2 linked regions of the Schizosaccharomyces pombe genome follow. The protein of the gene in region 1 interacts with the protein of each later gene in a pairwise test. Each region holds a gene or a part of one and is shown in the gene's direction. Other genes may lie near its edges.

Region 1 (4,657 bases):
TTACAATAAAACAGCTCAAATATGTGTGAACAAGATGAAAAGAGAGATAGAATATTACTTAACAAGTTAATAATTCAAATATGGAATACTAAAATAAACATGGGTTGGGTCTCGTTTACTCAACATAAATGTACTTTTCGAGTGAAAAGAAATGTGAATAGTAGTAAGGGAATAGTTTCAAAAATCAATAAAGGTTGTCTCCTTTGAGGATACCAAAATCAAAAATATAACCAAAAAATTATTCATAGAGGTCCATTATTTCATTATGAGCTTTGACAAATCGTTCAATGTATTCAGTTCCTTTAGCCAAAAACGTGATTCGAATATGATAATCACCTTCTGGTTGCCCAAATCCACTTCCAGGAACAACACATATACCTGAACGCTTAAGCAATTCTATCGCATAGAATTCGTCAGGTTGAATTTTCTGAGCTTTGGCTGTAGTGATTAACTTTTCGGGAAGTGAGACGCTGGGATGCAAATACATGGCCCCCTTGAAAATATGAATTAGTAAAGAAATGAAAACATAATGCAAATTTTACTTACGTGGGGTTCTAAACATGAAACTCTCTTCATGCGCTTTGTTCCCTCGTAGAGCTGACGGCATTGTAAACGCAGTGCTTCATGAATCTCATCAACTTCTTTGATGAACAAATCATAACTGGGATCACCAGGTTTAGGAGGATTTACTAGCATGTCTACTAATAATTGACCAGCAACTGGTGGACAAATGTCAATGGTAGCTAGTTTGAGGATTTGATCCTTAGCGGGCTCTGGAATATTAACAACGTCCAAATATCCACCTCTTTGACCACATTCACCAAATTGACCTTTGCTAACAGAATTTACGGAAATAAGCGAAACTTGGTCCCAATGATTGTCGGGTTCCTTTTCTCTTAATTCACCAAGTTTTCTCCTAAAAGAATGAAACTTGTTTTGGTAAATATTGTTTTGATAGACTTCGTCGGCAAGCAATACTATGCCCTTTGCCTTAGCAAAGCGCAAAACTTTTTCCATGCTATTTTCAGAAATGCAAGCTCCAGTAGGATTACCGGGATTAATAACCACGCATAAACGAACGTTGATACCTTTTTTAGATGCTTCATCAAATGATTTTTTAAATTGGTCAAAATCAATGTCCCAATTATTTTCCTCGGAGAGGCTGTAAGATACCATAGATCCACTCATGAGATCAATTTGGGCACCGTACAAAGGATATTGAGGAGCGGGAACCATTACACCATCTGTTGGCCTAGCGATTATCAAAGTCATTATAAGCCGGGCAGCGTGTGAGGCACCACTAGTCAAATATATGTCAGATGGCTCGCAATCAAATCCATCTCTCGCTAAAATATAATTAGAAAATGTGTAAAGATAAAAAGAAAAAAGAATGAATGGCGGAGTCTAAAATCATTTTTTATCGAGCAAGACCCTAGCAGCTTTAATGGGTTGCAGTATTTTTGCTAAATTTCTTAATACAGTCTGCGAATTGTCTCTGTGTCCGACGATCTTCACTCTTTCTTCTTAAAATGCTTACCTCTAATGAAATCCGCAACATGTCGCCTTACAAGCGGAATACCTTGAGAAGCACTATAGGCACCCAAACTTCCAGATTCCTTTAAGAGCATTTTGGATCGTTGTACGACATCCGTAGGGAACAAATTTTGAAACCACTTTTCCTCAGCATGGTCTAACAAGGTAGGGTACTGGCAAAGAGATAAAACCTGTCGAACGAATGTAATAGGAGACTGTCCCATCTGCTGAGGATTACCGATGTTTGCATAGACGATCTCACTGAAAGGATATGAAGAAGGATTTTCAAGTAAATCATCTTGGATCTCGTCCGCAAGAATGGCTAAAGCTCCACGGACGGCGTAATTTGCCTTAAATACTTGTTGATTCAAAGAATTAAGGTCTGAGAACGCATTTTGACAAAATCCATCAAGGTCCGACATTCTTGGAGACTCACAGTTAATATCATTTGGATAATCTGTAAACATAAATATAAAGTAGATAATCGTTATTTGATATTATGTACTTCACTCTTTCTACTGTATTTTATTTGGAGATACTTATCAACCGCTCACTGTATTCACTTATATTACATATACTAATTTTTTCACTAACTTAGCATAATGAACAGAGAAAAAATAGCTCCTAAAAAATACTCAGTGAATGACAACGTTTCCGTTATTTTTATATTTTTATTTTCCATTAACCGGATTATACAGGCTTAAATATGATATTCTAATAAACCATTTTTGTTTGTTTTATATATATTAAGTAAGCAATATTCAATGCGAAAAATTATTTGAATTCCTTTAGTAAGCCCCAACCTATGCTACATGTCGTGTAAACCAAAAAATTAGAACGATGTAAAAACAGAGGTATAGAAGAGATGCTTGCTTATTTGCTTAACTTTTTTGTCTTATAGAATTTGGTTAATTAAATTAATTTAACGATTTACAAGTTTCGAGAAGACTGATGGAATGTTCAAGCACTTGACTTTTCAGAATGGCATATTTCACAAAAAAGAATTGAAAAGAATAAAATTTACGAGTTTTAAGATTCGTTTCTAATAAAATTTAATTAAAACATGTTACTAGAACATAAGGAACAGTGGAAGTTGAAAAGTAGAAAAAGAACTTTTTCTCTTTAGTTGTTTGAATTAAATTTATATTTGAAATTTAAATAAACTACAAAAAATTAACATTTTACTAACTTTTAGATGAGTGAAATGTACAATATGTAGTTTAGTTAGCTGTTGATATGTGTTCTCCCTCTGCAACACTCACACACCGCACCATGACAGAAAAGGCAAGAACCGTATCAGATTTGACCATTTCGCAAGCGATTTTCGAGCTTTCCTCGCCATTCCTTGAGAATAAGAGCCAAAAGGCTTTGGATACGCTTTTTTCTGCCATTCGTGATCATGATTTAGCTCCACTTTATAAATATCTTTCAGAGAACCCTAAAACATCGGCAAGTATTGATTTTGATAGTAATTTTTTAAATAGTATGATAAAGAAAAATGAAGAAAAGTTAGCAGAGTTTGACAAAGCGATCGAAGATGCCCAAGAACTTAATGGAGAACATGAAATTTTAGAAGCCATGAAAAACAAAGCTGATTATTATACGAATATATGCGATAGAGAACGTGGTGTACAGTTATGCGATGAAACTTTTGAACGAGCAACATTGACCGGAATGAAGATTGATGTTCTTTTTTCCAAAATCCGTTTGGCATACGTGTATGCTGATATGAGGGTCGTTGGTCAATTATTGGAAAAATTAAAGCCACTTATTGAAAAGGGAGGTGATTGGGAGAGGAAAAATCGATTAAAGGCCTACCAAGGCATATATTTGATGTCAATCCGTAATTTTTCTGGTGCCGCCGACCTTCTCTTGGATTGTATGTCAACTTTCTCTTCCACCGAACTACTTCCATATTACGACGTCGTTCGATATGCCGTGATTTCTGGTGCAATTTCTTTAGATCGTGTTGATGTCAAGACCAAAATCGTTGATTCACCTGAAGTGCTTGCCGTGCTACCTCAAAATGAATCAATGTCTAGTTTGGAAGCATGTATCAACAGCTTGTACTTATGTGACTATTCCGGATTTTTTCGAACCTTGGCCGATGTTGAAGTTAATCATCTTAAATGTGATCAATTTCTTGTCGCCCATTATAGATACTATGTGCGTGAAATGAGAAGACGTGCTTACGCCCAGTTACTTGAATCTTACCGTGCTCTCAGTATCGATTCCATGGCCGCTTCCTTTGGCGTATCTGTTGATTATATCGATCGCGATTTGGCGTCATTTATCCCAGACAACAAGTTGAACTGTGTAATTGATCGAGTCAACGGTGTTGTATTTACAAACCGTCCTGATGAAAAAAACCGTCAATACCAAGAGGTTGTTAAGCAGGGTGATGTTTTACTTAACAAACTCCAAAAATACCAAGCCACTGTTATGCGTGGTGCCTTTAAGGTATAATTTAACTCAGTGCCTACGTTTAATGAAATATGGTTCAATGCATGTATCGTTTATCTATATTGTCTGGTTTAAACATTTGAAAAGTAATAATATGAAACGGTATTAAGTTTTGGTGCCATGAACATTATTTGTAAACGAAATGTAGAAATGATTAAAGCATACGAATCTTTATTCAACTATTATTAGGGACTAAATAGATAGTTGTGCAATTTTTGGTGGTGTTTACGTATATCTCAAATGTTTCTTCACTCGTAAATACAATGTTGTTTGATGAGCCTGCGACGCGTTCCATTTACCAACAACATTTCGTATGTTAGTGACACTAATTCGTAGCGAAAAGATTTGAAACAATACAAGGTTAAGAGATTAACAGATTGATTTAATATGGAATATCAAGAAGAGGCTTCTCTCGCCTCGGCTGAAGATTCGACTTTCATAGCTTCATCGCCTGTTCAAAGTGTTAGCGAGATGAAGTCTATTAAGCAGAAGAGTTTTCAGTATTTTGATGATTATGAAAAGAATGTCTCAGATAAAACAATTCAATTTCAGAAGCTACAAATGACTGCTAAAGAAATAATTGATGCTTTTGAGCGCGATTCTACTCAACGTACGCTACAAATCGAAAGTTTGGAAAGTAAGATAGGAGAGCAGGAACGGG
Region 2 (14,796 bases), on another chromosome or scaffold:
AAGCTTTTCCAATGTCCATATTCATGGTATAATCATGAATCTTAATTTAATCCGCTTTTGAGGTCGTGTGTTCCAGTTTAATTTAAGTAGTGGATGGTAGCGTGAGTATATTAGATTTTCGTGACGCGTGAACGCGACGCGTCCGTGATCCATCACATGCACCAAACGTTACCCAGAATATGTTAAAGTAACAAAACGCGTATTTCAAAGTCATGTTTAAGCATATTTGCAATTACAGATGGGTACAGCCTAAAATTCTTGAGGAATAAATAAAAAGGATAAAAGTTTTCTAATTACTTGTTAATTTTTCATAAAGGATGACTTTCGTATTTCTGCCTATGATATAATGAGCGCTCGAAAAGTTGTCAAATATCTCATTTATTAATAATAATCGAAAATATTACGCGTCAAAAGAATCTTTCACTCACAATTCTATACTTGTATAGTCAAATTACAATCTCAACTCGCGGAGTGAATATAAGTTAGCTGTTCACCTTGCAGGACCCAAAAGAAAATAGTATATATTTGTTTCAATCAAGGTAAAGAAAATTTTAATGTAATAACTTCGTTAAGTATAAATTTCCTTTCGTATCCTTGGATTTTCAAACACATTTATCCTGTCTAACACTATTGAACAAGACAAGTTCGTGCTTTTATCAACTACAGGTTGTGAACAACCTCCATTGTACAACACCAATAGTGCATTCATTACACTCTTTCCAATATTTCTAATTACACCTCTTAATTTATTTATAAATTATTTCTTTTTTTCTTCAAATGAGTGAGTCTGTTACTACTGGATCTGATGATGATGGAGGAGACAGAGAATCTTCCCCTGTAATGCTTTCTCAAAGTTTTGATCCCATGAGCAGTAGTTCAAATTCATCTTCTGAAGAAAATAGCGATGATGATTACGAGAAAACGATAAGCTCAAAAAAACGGCATCCACGGCCAAATTCTAAAGGAGTAAATGTAAAACGCTCTAGGAGGAACGCTATAGTTGAAGAGGATCCTCAAGAAGAAATTTTTAACAACTTATTTGGTAATGATAAAGTCCTTCTTTTTTTCAGCTACTAACACTGAAAAGCTTTTCTGCTTGACCAAAAAGTTGATACCATGGACATCGCGGTTTCGTGGTTTGCTGACTATGCAAAAGATAATCAATCTGCCCTTGCAAATCTTATTAACTTTATTTTAAAGGTAGAGTCATTCTTTTCTTTCTTTACTAAATATTTTAGTGCTGTGGTTGCAATCGTGCCATTAATGTGTTTGATGTTCAGGATCAAGATTCTGCTTCAGCTACTCTATCTCAAATTCAACTTTCTGTAGAGCGTGTAAGTGCTTTTGCGAAAATACTTTATTTGTATATTAACAACTTTAAGACTTCTACTCGTGATTATCCTTTAAATTCAAAAAATCTTAAGTTTAGGAATTTCAGAAAGAGATTGACCGGTCTTTTAAGCAACTTTGTGTCACAGTTGTCAATAAGAAATTACTTGTACAATAGCACTGTTTTTGAAGATATTATGTCTTGGGTCGTTGCCATGTCTTCTTCTACGATGAGACCTATTCGGCACACCGCCACTGTTTTCTGTTTGAATATTATGACTTTTTTATGTGAAAAATCTAAAGAACTATTGAACGAGCATGCAATTGCTACCAAACAGCTCGAGAAAGAAGAAAAGCGCTCTCGTGTAAATAGAAATCGCATCAACGAACTTAATAACAGTCTTGGTGAAATAGTCAAGCAACAAGATACATTGACTACATACTTAAATGACTACTTTGATAGGTAAAGATCCCTCAAACGCTTTAATTTATTTATACTAACCTTTATATTAGTGTCTTCGTCCATCGATATCGAGACGTGGAGCCTAAAATAAGGGTAGATTGCTTACAAGAGCTTGGGGTCTGGATTAATACTGTTCCAAGCATATTTTTTTCAGGAAGTTATTTAAGATACCTAGGATGGATGCTTTCAGACATAAACACTACCGTCAGATTAACTGTAGTTAAAGTTTTGCGCAAATTTTTTGAGACAGATTCATTTATTGGTGGATTAAGACATTTTTCTTCTAGATTTAAAGAAAGAATACTCGAGATGAGTTGTGTGGACGCCGATATTGGAGTTCGTGTAGCCAGCATTCGTTTGTGTAACGCTATGAGGACTTGCGGATTTTTAGAAAATTCTGAAATTTTAAAAGTGCTGAAGCTAATTTTAGATATCAATCCAAGGGTGCAACGTGAAGCCGTACTGTTTTTATGCAAAGTGGTTGACGAAAGTGTGAATGAAAAAATTGATTTATGGGGTGAAGAAGACTATATTCTAAAGGCCTTTTCTCAGACTTCACTTACTACATTTTCAGTTCATTGGATAAAATTTTCCCAAATGTGTAAACTTTTGGAGGAGGTTAGATTGTCTTACCAATCGAGCTTTGATTATGATACATTATTACGAATCTTCCAAAAAAATGGTAATTTCATTACTCCTATAACACAAGCTTTACTTAATGCATGTGAAATTGATTCAATCTATCAGTCATGGGAGGATATTAGCAACTTCGTACTTTTTGATAATTATACCTCGACTCTAAAAGATCCGATAGACAGTATACTTTCTTTCTGCAAGCTAAATGATTTTCAGGAATCTATTCTTTTACAGCTTCTCTCTGCTTCAATCCAAACTGTCTGTAATAACAATTTTATCACACCTAAAACGGTGCATAATAAGCAAGCGGCGGAAACGACCAACGATCAAAATAAAGATAAGGACTTACTTTATTTGAATCTTCTTCCTTACATTAATTCAATAACTGAGAGAAATTCTGCTTCACCAACACTTCTTCATGATTCTCTTCGTTTGTTATTCTCAATGGATTTGACAGAAATGACAGACCCTCAACTTTCCAGACATTTTGAACTTCTAATTAATAATTTAAAAAAATTTTTCCTAACCAATAATGATCTTCAAATTATTCAAGGTTGCACGATATTATTTTTACGGTTGGACTCTATTCCTGCTTTGAAAGAAGATTTGAAGCTTCTGGTTACTGACATTTGCGACCAGACGGTAACCGAATTTTTAAAGAATTTTGGATCTTTTAATATTCAAGATGCTGTAATAACAAAAGATGAATTTGTTATTTTTGAAGCTTGTTTAACAAGAATCGAGGGATGTACCTCTCTCAAAGATTTTTCTGACTATCCTGAGTTTGACATAATATATGAAAGGCTTGTTTCGCTTCTTTCGCGGGTTCCTAATAGCTATGAAGATACATTGAAGTTTTCTGCAATTAATACTTTACAGAGTCTATTGTTTTGGTTCTTTCTAAGGAAGGATAACCCTGCTGATGAGGAAAAAAAGAAGGATGATGAGACTAAAGTTTTTAATTGTTTGATTAATATTATGAATAATGACAGCTCTAAAATTTTGCAACTTCAGGTATACAAAATCAACTTATTATTTGATTTAAGAAACTAACTTGACCAGGCAGCCCGAACTTTTCTGGAAACAGTGATAATGAAAGAAGGTGTTAAAGCATCACATTACAACGATGACAATCGTGTATCTGAGGAGCATAACTTTTTAAAACCTCAATTTTTAGATGCTCTTTTAAAAATACTTGAGGGATGGTTATACACATATGCCAAAGTTGGTCAATTCCCCTTCAAGCGTTTGACTCAAGCAAGTTCTCCACATACACAAATTTCTTTGGACAAAAATCCACTTAATAGAAGGCTATTGGAACATGTATGTTGCGATTTGACTAGTAAATTATTAATAGTTGTTTCATTGTCAAATACGATAACACCAGAATTTTCACAACAGTTTTGTGAACTAAGAGGGCACTATGGACCGAAATTATCTGCTATTGTGGATGAGTTTTTGAATTAATTAAATTTAGATTTAATGCCTGCTGTATATTTAAAGTAATTAATTATTTTTAAGTCAGCATTAGAAATAAATTCTTTTTTCATTATTAAAAAGATTATTTCCGCTTGGTTTTCATTAATTCTCTATATTTCTCTATAAGTTCCAAACGCTGCTTTCCTAGAGCTTGGCGTCGTGCCATAGATTCTGTTTGACCCATATTATTAACTTTGGGAACATTTTCCAAGTACTTTGTCTCTTTAATTTTTAATTCCGGAAGTTCAGGAGGAGCTTGCACAGTTTCTCCAAAGGAAGGTTTTGTTTGTAAATTAGCCCACGGATCAGGCGAATTTTTTCGTTTTTTTCTAGACTCAATTTGGATAAATTGTCTAATATGTTAGTTTATACGAAATGAAATTGGTGATATACACATACCCAGTAGTATCCGCCTCCCATGTTTTATCTTCAAAATTTTCCTCAATTTCATTCCAGTCTCTTTCACGCTTCTCTTTTCTTTTCGCTATTTTTTTCTTTTCTTTTTTATCAGTAAATTCGTCTATTTTGCTCGGCCCAGACTTAAAAGATACTGGAATAGCCTTATTTACGCGCTGACTAAATTCACTAAGGCGTTCACCGGGTAATCTTTGAATTTTCCCATAATCTTTTTTTTTCTTATTTTTAAGGTTGCCTTTCTTTATTTCCTTCTTTTTAGATTCATGGTACTCTTTTTGCTGTAGCAATCGCTTGAATTGCTTTGGGAAGTTGTCATCTACACTTTCATCCTCCTTGGGAGCATGATCGAGTCTATTAACCAAATGTTAGTAAAAACATCTTGCTATAGAAATTTTTTACCCAATCTTTTTCCGTTCAGCCTCAAGAACGGACCTTTTCTTAGTCTTAGTAGGCATATTGCGCTTGGATAGTAAACACAAACGAGAAGCAAGTAATAAAGGAAAATAGCGAGCCTAGCTCGTATCGCAATTTAGATAAATTTGGATTTGTTTTAATAGATACTCATGGGATAACAGTAAAGTTTATTAATGAATACAAATATCTTTTTTTATTTTAGTGGACAAGCTGTAACGCTTTAGAGAGAAAAAATTTCAGAATCAAGTTGGAAGCAAGCTTAGTGAAGATACTTTTCGAATCATACACGAAAAATATATTAAAAAATATATATATCAAACACCAAATATACACTATCTTTATTAAAATCGTAATGCTCTTATATGTAAACACTCAACTATCTTTCTTGTTGAGTATTTTGCGAGCTAATTAATAAAAATTAAAATGACTACAAACAGAGTACTTGAAATTATATAGAAAGCGAAACAGTACAAAATTACAATAACAAAATAAAAAATTCGATAACAATCTGCTTCCATAAGAATCAAATTTTATTCTCGATTAAAAGAAAACTGTTCCCAAAATCCAAAAGTTTAGATGAGCAATTTCTCTATTGCCAATTTAATAGCTTGAATTTGAGGAAGTAAATCACTAGCCTCATTGGTAGTAATGCTGGCTGAAATCACCGGTCTACTTACACCACAAGCACGTCCCAAAGCAGCCTTGCTAGGAACAAAAACATAAGGCACATTCTTGTCCTCACAAAGCAATGGCAGATGCAATAAAATCTCTATGGGCTCGGTATCAGCCGCCATTACTATAAATTCACTAATACCACGGTTCAAGGTTTTGGTAGCCTCATTTGCACCTTTGCGAAGCTGCTTGTAATGAGAGGCCTGTTGTACCAAGTCGAGAATTTGTTGGGTTAAGCCAGAATCGGCTAAAGGAAAGGCCTAACAATGTTAGTATGCAATAAAACGAATATAAATTTCGGAAAAGTTCATTTTCCGTAATAAAATTGCCGACGAAACTAGCATTTGAAACTAGCATGCTTTCAGCTATTTCGTAGCCAAAGAAGAAGTCTTATACCATTATTAACATACCTTTGGGTTAACTGACATTTTTTCGGGTTCCTTGCTGTAAAAAGTAGTATCTGACCTACAATGGTGGTTGCTCGCCCTTGCTAAGAAATTTTCTTTAGTAAACTTCACTTTAGCTGTAGTCCAAAAGTACAAGTAACAACATCAACGTTAGTCGATCCTTCGATCAATGTAACTTGGAAAATTAATCCAAATTTGCTTAAATTTGGAATTCTAAGAAATTTATGCACATTAATAATCTTAATTGTTTCTTGGCATTACACTATGAATATGGAGGACTCAAAACTATAAATCAGATTGGTGAGTTTATTTCTATTGAGCAGGCATTCTTCAATTGGACATTGTTTACCATATTTAACAGAATATAATAACATTAAAAAAAGTTGGAACTGCATATCTGATTGAGAGCTGTATTGTTATATAGTCTATGGACTTAGCAAAAAAGAAGTTGCTAATAATCTACTATTTAACTTTTAAATTTTAGCAAAGTACATATAATTTGTCCTAAAAAAAAAAAAAAAAAAAAAAAAAAAAAAAAAGCCCTGGTACATACTATTGAAAGTGTGTAAATTGTAATTTAGCTAAAATATTTTCCCTTAGTGGTTTGGAATATAGGTTTTTAATAATATTATAATTTATAAAAACTTTGCAAAACACTTTCTAAATAATATCCAAAAAAGTTTATACTTTCTGTTAAATTCATACTTCGATCTCCAGGCTACAACTTTATCTACTGTAAAAAAAGCTGAATAAATTAACAGCGAGTACATACACATTTGGATATGTGTTTAGGAAATTCATTGTTTTATATTATTAGATAAAATTTTACACTTATTTATTCAGCTCATATAACCTGCATGTTCGTGCAAGCAGTGGAAGTGGTTGATATAGCTCTACACTATTTCAATTCATTCTACATTCCGCTTACCCAACAGCTGTCACATCGAAAATAACGCTTCAGCATATTGCTAAACGCGTATTGCAATTTTCAAGAAATATACTTTTGACGAAAAAACATGTACTAGCGGATTTTTTCTTTAACTCTTGATGAAACTAAAACTGTTTCCATTTCAAGCTGCTGGTCATGGCCAAGTACTAGTCAGTGAGGATGATAAAATTCTAATTAAGCCATGCATTAAAAGTGAAGTTGATTTTTATAAAACATGTAACGACAATATTACGCTCTACAACTGGATTCCTAAGAATTTCGGTGAGTGGATGCCTTCTAGTAGAGACATTGAGGGTATCAACCCGATCGCAGAAAGTGTTGCTTTTTCCTTAACTGGAAAAGCTATAATCTTAGAAAATATTCTGTATCAGATGGAAACTCCTTGTGTCATGGATATCAAATTAGGAAAACAGTTGTGGGCCGATGACGCTCCTCTTGAAAAACGAAAAAGATTAGATGCCGTTTCCAGAAGTACGACGAGTGGTAGTCTTGGATTTCGTATAACTGGTATATTGTCGTGGGACAGAACAAACAATACGTACATTAAACGATCAACAGCTTGGGGTAAAACCCTTACGGATTCAGATGTCGTAGAAGGCTTAAATGATTTTTTTGTCTCTTGCTCTCTTTCTCAAAAAGCAAGGTTGGTTGAAAGCTTCCTTAATTTATTGAAATTATTTGAAGTTGATCTTTCTGAGTCTTATATTGAATTAAAATCTTCTAGTATTCTTTTCGTTTATGATTACTCTTCCCTAAATCCAACGTATCATTGTGAAAGCAATGTAGTTCTCAAGCTGATAGATTTGGCACATTCTAGATGGACGAAAAACACTATAGACCATAACACATTAATTGGGGTTAAAAACTTAATTCACTGTTTTGCGATGCTCCTGAAGAATGAATAATTGAATACTGACATGATAAATTCCTTTAAAAGAAAAGTAATTTTTTTAATCATTGCTGGTTAAAGCTAATTAATTTATCTGTATAGTATTCCACTATAACTATTATAAAAATGATACCTTATTTATTTTTTTGAGTGATCGTGAAGTATTGATTTGTTATAGAAAAGAAAATAATTTTTATTCTTCGTTTATTTTATGAAAATTTTCAGAAAGGTTATCTACCCTTTTTATTTTTGGTAAGATAAAGATCTTATTCCACAAACGAACTACTTAAAAAACAGTCAGTTTTCTCTTAATAAAATAGTTCGTTTACTTATAGAAGTTTGCTTTATACCTTGCGTTGTTTTCATAGAGGTTACTAAAGCATGCTTTACTTATATGCTTTCAAATACGCTTTAACTTTTTTTTTAATAATAATTTTAACTAACATAATGAAAATAAAATAAATATGCTTATATTTCTCCATTTACCTAAAGTTTCAAACAGTAGTAATATGACTTGAGCACTTGCCATCAGCAAACAACTACTCCACGAAGGATTTCATCATGGATACCGAAATGTCTGTCAATATGTCTGATTTTTTACACGATCAAGCTACAAGAGCTCCAGAAAGCCTTCAGCAATCCTATATTTTAATGGAAGACCTTTATGAAAGGAAGTATGTTGTAAAAGTGCTTTAGAAGAAAATGAACTTTACATTAACTGACGCCAGATTATGGAAACAACTTACAGATGCTTTGATTGTTTTCTTTGATACCCCAGAAACAGTACCTTTAAGGCTTCCTTTGTATACGAACTTTGTCAACTCATTTCGACCTAATATCAATCAACTCAAAGCAGTGTACATGGGCTTAAAGGCTTTTGAGTCATGTTCTAACGACGAAGCCCTTCGTAATTTAAACCAAATTGTTAACGAATTGGATGAAGAGAAATATAAAGATGCCTATGTATATTCCATTGTTGCCATTGCTCGCATCAAGCTGATTAGTGGTAAGTTGGATGAAGCCCGGGAACTACTTGTCAAAGCCTCAAAAATTATCGACCACATTGATTACGTAGAAAGTCTTATTCATTCTTCATATTATAGCGTCAGTGCAGACTACTACAAGGCAAAGGCTGATTATGCTCAATACTATCGTCATTGTCTATTGTATTTATCTTGCATCGACCTCGATAAATGCTCTCATACCGAGTTAGTTGAAAGAGCGGTGGATCTAAGTGTTGCCGCAATACTCGGTGATATTTATAATTTTGGTGAATTATTATTACATCCTGTTTTCGAGTTGCTAGTAGGTACACAGCACGAGTGGTTACATGATTTAGTCATCGCCATGAATGTCGGAGATTTACCTTTGTTTGAACGCTTAATGGGGCAAATTAACAAAATGCCTTTACTGCAAAGTTCGGTTGCTTTACTAGGTCAAAAAATTCGTTTAATGGCCCTCATTGAGTTGGTCTTCCAATTACCTCCAAATCAGCGTACTTTAACATTTGATACAATTGCTCGTGCAACCCGTATTCCTTCTAATGAAGTTGAGTTACTCATTATGCGTGCTTTAAGCGTAGGGCTTATAACAGGTGTTATAGATGAGGTTACCCAAATTGTCACCATTTCTTCCGTCCAATCTAGAATTTTAAATCACTCGCAAATTGCAAGCATGGAATCTCGTCTACGAGAATGGAACCAAAATATTAAGAACCTTTCTAATGTGGTTGAAATTTCTGGAAAAGGTGTTTTCGTTTGATGACTACAAAACTCATTGTTTAAAAGACAAGACATGCTATAAAGTAAATAGAACTATTTTTCTATACATTATTATACATTTCAGTGTAGTAATTTTATTAGTTGTAAACATGGTACGTAATTTCATTCTCCTTAAGCAATTGTATTCAATTAGTATTCAGAATTCAAGCTACTTAATAAAAAACCCAATTGAATCCATGAATGGCTATTAATGTTAGATCAATAATATAAAAAAAAACTTACCCCTAATGTGCCATAAAACCCGACTAATTGAAAACCTTTTGGGACTAAATAGCTTTTCAACCCACCCCCGTTAGCATTTCCATAAAATGGACTTGTTTTACCATTTTCTAAAACAATGGATATCCCATCCACCCAGGCTCCACAACGTATTTGAAAGCCTACAATTTGGGAGCCTTGTATTTCAAAATCGTGAGGGCTTCCACCACGGTTACCAAGAAGAACTGATTCATCACCAAAAAATACTTCAATTCCATCCAAAGCTAAACCACAATGAACACGAATTTTAGTAGGCTTAAACTTTTCAGGTGCTATTAAAATATTTGATAACTCTTTCCCATTACAACCTCGCAAACCATATCTTTCAGATCGATAAACAGTTCCAAAAGACGATTCAACCTTCGCATTTTTTATAATTTCAGGTACATTGTTTAAATCAATACATTTGAAATTTCTGGATAGAACGCGAACACGATAATCTTGATTGGAGCTTGCATTTGAAAGAGAGCGTATTTCAGCATCAGTTAAAGAAGCTTCTCCGACTGGAGGATTAAACTCCTTCCAGCCCTTGGTCTGTCCATTGTATTCAATTTCAATTAAAAAGATTCCAGTCGAATTGACAAATGTGATAGTTTCTCCTTTAACAAAGTAGTTCGTTTCAATGTCCGACGGATATGTAGGGTCTGAAGGTAGTTTAAAGCACGGATGATAAAAAAACCTTAACATGTCAAGATGGTGCCAAGAACATTCATCTTTTGCAAGCACTGGGGCAAGACCTTTACTTCCAGTTCTAACACATTCAAATTCTCTTGTCGTAAAACTGCGGTTAAATATTGGATATGATCGCAACATGATTCCATCTGGTTGATGAGGACAACCAAGTGTATGTCCTAACTCATGAAGCATAGCGCCTATCCCTATATTCGCACATTCCCAAATCGTAGAACTTTCATTTGCATCATTTGCCAAGTAAGAAGGGATTCTACGGGCATCACTAAAGACAGGTACAACATACTCAAGTGCACTAGGAAAAGAATGTAACGAATGGGAACCAAACACTCCAAGTTTGTGCATGTCTGTACCTCCACCTAAAGCTACATGTCCACGAATTTTTTGAGTAGAAGGATCATATCGTGTATCCAAGAACATGCACATATAATGCCAAGGCTCAGGAAGATGTAGTTTGTCGACAGCATCTCCAGCTATATGAAACAATTGATCTGGAGGAACCGATCGAATCTCTTCTGCTGTTTTATCACTTCGCAGAATATTTATAGTGGCTGTTAACCTTTCGGTGCCCCAAGGGGACAAACAAGACATTGTGTCGGGTTGCACACTTTCCTCAATTCTAAAAGAACGTCTTCCATAACCATTTCTATACATACATTCAGCGGTGAAAGCTTGCCATAAGTAAGCAGCGCATCTGAGTTTACGGATGCCCTCATCAATATCATTTTTGGCACCGTGAGGTGCATCAAATGAAAGGTCTGAGTCTTTTCCAACTATAAAGGCGATACAATAGAAAGGATTATCAACAAGTAATTGGTAATAAACCTGCAATTCTAGTTTACCTCCATCGTCCGTAGTAAATAGTATGGTATTGTCTCCGGGAACGACGTGAATGATAGCTTTAAAATATAAGTCTGTAACTACCCATGTTTGTTCTGGAAATGAATTTTCGTGATGCTTCACATTGATTGTTTGTGGGCAATAACTTGCACGAGGTCCAACTCTACCATGTATAATAACAAATCTCTAAAATTAGGCATCTATATTAGTACAATTATGAAAATAACATTGAAAACACTCGTACATTGTATACAGTTTCGTTTTGGGATATATTGTCTAAAATGATCTGACTCATGCTGGCTCTTGACAAACGCGTGTGCAGTACATTCTATATTTATTTCGAATTGACTTAGACTAATGTCACAAAACATATAAATTATTTACATATTTATTCAAATTTATAAATTTAATATACACGACATCATATAAAATACAAAACATAATATAATCGCGTTTTTTGAACAATAAAATTACAGCATCGGTTGATTGAGTCTTTGGCAGTGGGTATACTGAGAGACCAATAATTATTTAAAATTCTAGCTGAATAATAAACTTTTGTATGCTTTACGGAGACAGTAGACGTCCAAATTAACTATTGAAGACTTATATAAGTACAATGAATTAATGGATTATTTATTTTAATGATTGTAAATAAATATTTAGAAAAAGAGGAGTGCAAAACTTATTAAACGATGATTGTGTATGTTATGGCTCAAGATTTACAGAAAAATCTAGCAGAGTAAAAGCGATACTTTCAGGATCAAAGCACGTCCTTAGTATCAAATATGTACGCATGACGATAGATACACCGGCCTAAAAAAGAGGACTAGGTTTAAGAACTTAATCGCTTTATTCTTGTACATATGGAGAGTTTTTGTCATTGAATGGAGATGCGGATACTTGACTTTGAGTCTCTGCATTTTCACCACTTTGTCGTGAGAAAGATGAAGACAGTCTGGGAGGAGGGGCTTCGGTATTTACAAAAGGTACTGTCTCTGATGTGTGATCTATAAATGGAGAAGCAGAAGGAATAGTATTAAGCTCTGCTTCTTCAACCCTTGTATCCCACATGTCGTCTGCATCCAAGGCTTCAAACTTAGCGGAATTGGAAAAAGGGTTCTTCAGAAAGTTCCAGGTTTGAGAAGACTTTACAGAACTAACATCAGCTGTCATCATATTTCTTCTCCGAATAGAATTAATTAGTCGTAAGACACCATATGCAACAAATAAGAAAGCAATCGAGCATATAATTGACAATGCTACAATGCCAAACGTCCCCATGATGAACCAATTTATCTAAAAGAATTTTTCAAACAGTTTTCATAAAATTTTCTTTCAACGTTTGAAAATTAGAAAGAAGAAACTTGGGGTACAATACAACAAAATTAAGTACGCAAGATGGTGCAAAATCCAAAAGAGAGTAATGAGGTGCTTTAAAGATCAAATTTCCCTTGAATGTCCTTATAACAATTTAACGCAAATTTGGGAGTCCGTTATTATCATTAAAACAAAATATAATAAAACATGTTTTCGTGTAATTCAATGATGTTAAACATTTTGAATTTTTTTCCTCACTTTTTATTTTCTCGTACCTCATTCACCTCATCTTCTTTCTTCTGTATAGCTAACTCAGTATCGCTAGAGGCGTCAAAAAGTACTTCTTGCTCAATTTCCTCTTCTTGCTCTTTTTGAGAATAATAGGTTCTTTGCTTCGATTCGTATTTTTCTTCCTGTACTGCAAGCGATTGAATCTCAGCATCAGAAATGTTATCATACCCAAGACGTTCTTTCAAAATTTTGGCAACCAACCATCTATACTGCAAATGACCTTCAACAAGATCCCCCACATCGACATTTTCTAAAGTATTTGAATCAAGAGAAACTGGTCCAAGACCAGCAGCCGTAGATTGCGCACTGTTGACACGATACACTAATTGTAGTACATAATCAGAAGCAGAATAGACATTTACGAATCTCCCAGCGACAACGCATCTCATTTTAAGCCATAACTTAGCGTCAGTCGGCATAGGGGCGCCCATTACTATCACATTTTCAACTAGATTCGTCTCACCACGGTCAGCCAAATGTAGTAAACACTCAAGAATTGTACGTGCACCAAGCGAAAACCCAATTAAAGTCACTGGACGCATACCCTGAGCTCTAACACAAAGCGCATTGGCTAAAGCTTCACCGGCTTTGATGGATAAATTAAATGCAATTCTCCAGGAATTGCCTAAAATATTTCCGACTTTCAAAAGTGATAAAGGCCATAAAGCAGCAGCAAGAGGAGCTAATATCGTTCTACTAATAACCTCTCCCTTTACCCAGCCAAGTCCAGCAGAAAATAAGATTCTGGAAAGAGATTTTCCAAGATCAACTAAAGCTTCAACTTCAAATTTCAAAGCATATATGTCTCCCCAATAATAACTTTTATCTCCAACAGTTAAAGATTTCCAAGCAGCGTCTACTTCGTTATAATCCCCAAGCCATCCTGAGATTCCAATGGTAACCGGTAAATGCGATTGCACACTGAGAGGTATGAATTCAAAATCAGTGAGTCCCTTAGATACATCCCCCATCTGTTGCATACTCATTTTGGCTCCAAAGCCTCCAAACAGAGCAGTGATCATTGGTGCCGAAGTAATCAAAGTGCCAAGATAGGTTGCTCCAATCATAGTTCCCAAACCTAGACCAGCAAATAACGTCCCTAACCCAGCTGCAACAAAAGGTGCAGCTAGTCCACCTGTTAACCCAATAAGAGCTCCACCTGCCAGTCCAGCGAGACCCATTGCAATCCGTCTTCTCATTTTTCGGGTGCCCGAAAGTTCATACATTTCTTGATTGCTTTCCATAGTTTGAAAAGTATCTAAAAGCATAGAAGAGGTGATAAGCTCAGCCTTATAAACCACGATAGAGGACAAGCCCAACTTCTCTGCAATACTATATAATAAATTACGGGAATAAGGAGAATAATTACCCAATGAAAGAATCAATAACAGTAGACATTTAATAAAGCACTCGCTTTTCTCTGTTTCGGAAAACTGCCGAAATTTTTTTACTTCTACTTGATCCTTTGGAGTAGAGGGATCCAGTGCGCAACCTGTGCGATTTACAACTGCCATTGCCCAAGTGTCGAAGTTTTCTCTAAAGACGTCCAATAATTGAGAAAGATATTTTACTATTTCAGGATCCGTGTTATCGATTATTGACTCTTTCTTCTCTCGCATTTCACCAATTGTACTAGCAATTAAAATTGTATAACGAGTACAAGCATCATCGTCAAATAAGGATATGATTTTCTGTTCTGCCATATTATCTAAAAGAAGGAAGATATGAAAAGGAAAAAATTAAGTAATGTATGTTTTGATATGATTCGCATAGAATGCACAGCAGAAAGTAATTGTGCACCAAAAGTTTAAGAACTTCTGGTATCAGGAATTAGGAATGAAAAACTTCTTCTTTCAAAGCAAACCTATTAAGAACTAAAAAAGTAAACAATAGTTGAAAGAAAATGGTCGTAAAGCAAACTTGATATTGAAGCACTTAGCACACTAATGGAAGAAACGTCATAG

What was found.
Region 2: the proteins of rpn7 (region 1) and rpn9 interact in a two-hybrid assay, tested with the Schizosaccharomyces pombe proteins (one study listed by BioGRID).

What each region holds. Positions count from the first base shown.
Region 1 is NC_003423.3:429,893-434,549, reverse strand, and holds rpn7 (19S proteasome regulatory subunit Rpn7), read left to right. Parts: upstream 1-2,784; 5' UTR 2,785-2,805; coding exon 2,806-3,999; 3' UTR 4,000-4,157; downstream 4,158-4,657. Other genes in the region: alt1 (putative alanine aminotransferase), read right to left, coding at 239-493, 547-1,346, 1,538-1,955; mcp6 (horsetail movement protein Hrs1/Mcp6), read left to right, coding at 4,384-4,657. UniProt on the Schizosaccharomyces pombe protein: Component of the 19S cap proteasome complex which acts as a regulatory subunit of the 26S proteasome, involved in the ATP-dependent degradation of ubiquitinated proteins.
Region 2 is NC_003424.3:2,035,626-2,050,421, forward strand, and holds rpn9 (19S proteasome regulatory subunit Rpn9), read left to right. Parts: upstream 1-8,182; 5' UTR 8,183-8,216; coding exon 8,217-8,329; exon of another isoform or gene 8,330-8,383; coding exon 8,384-9,416; 3' UTR 9,417-9,534; downstream 9,535-14,796. Other genes in the region: WD repeat protein Cdt2, read right to left, coding at 1-25; mitotic cohesin complex non-SMC subunit Psc3, read left to right, coding at 778-1,042, 1,088-1,200, 1,239-1,334, 1,383-1,792, 1,843-3,442, 3,491-3,895; SPOM_SPAC607.02C (uncharacterized protein), read right to left, coding at 3,990-4,260, 4,307-4,675, 4,724-4,779; U3 snoRNP-associated protein Snu13, read right to left, coding at 5,311-5,670, 5,821-5,838; arg82 (inositol polyphosphate kinase), read left to right, coding at 6,865-7,671; SPOM_SPAC607.06C (metallopeptidase), read right to left, coding at 9,585-9,620, 9,659-11,410, 11,469-11,519; SPOM_SPAC607.07C (uncharacterized protein), read right to left, coding at 12,074-12,505; protein Mil1, read right to left, coding at 12,796-14,535. UniProt on the Schizosaccharomyces pombe protein: Acts as a regulatory subunit of the 26S proteasome which is involved in the ATP-dependent degradation of ubiquitinated proteins.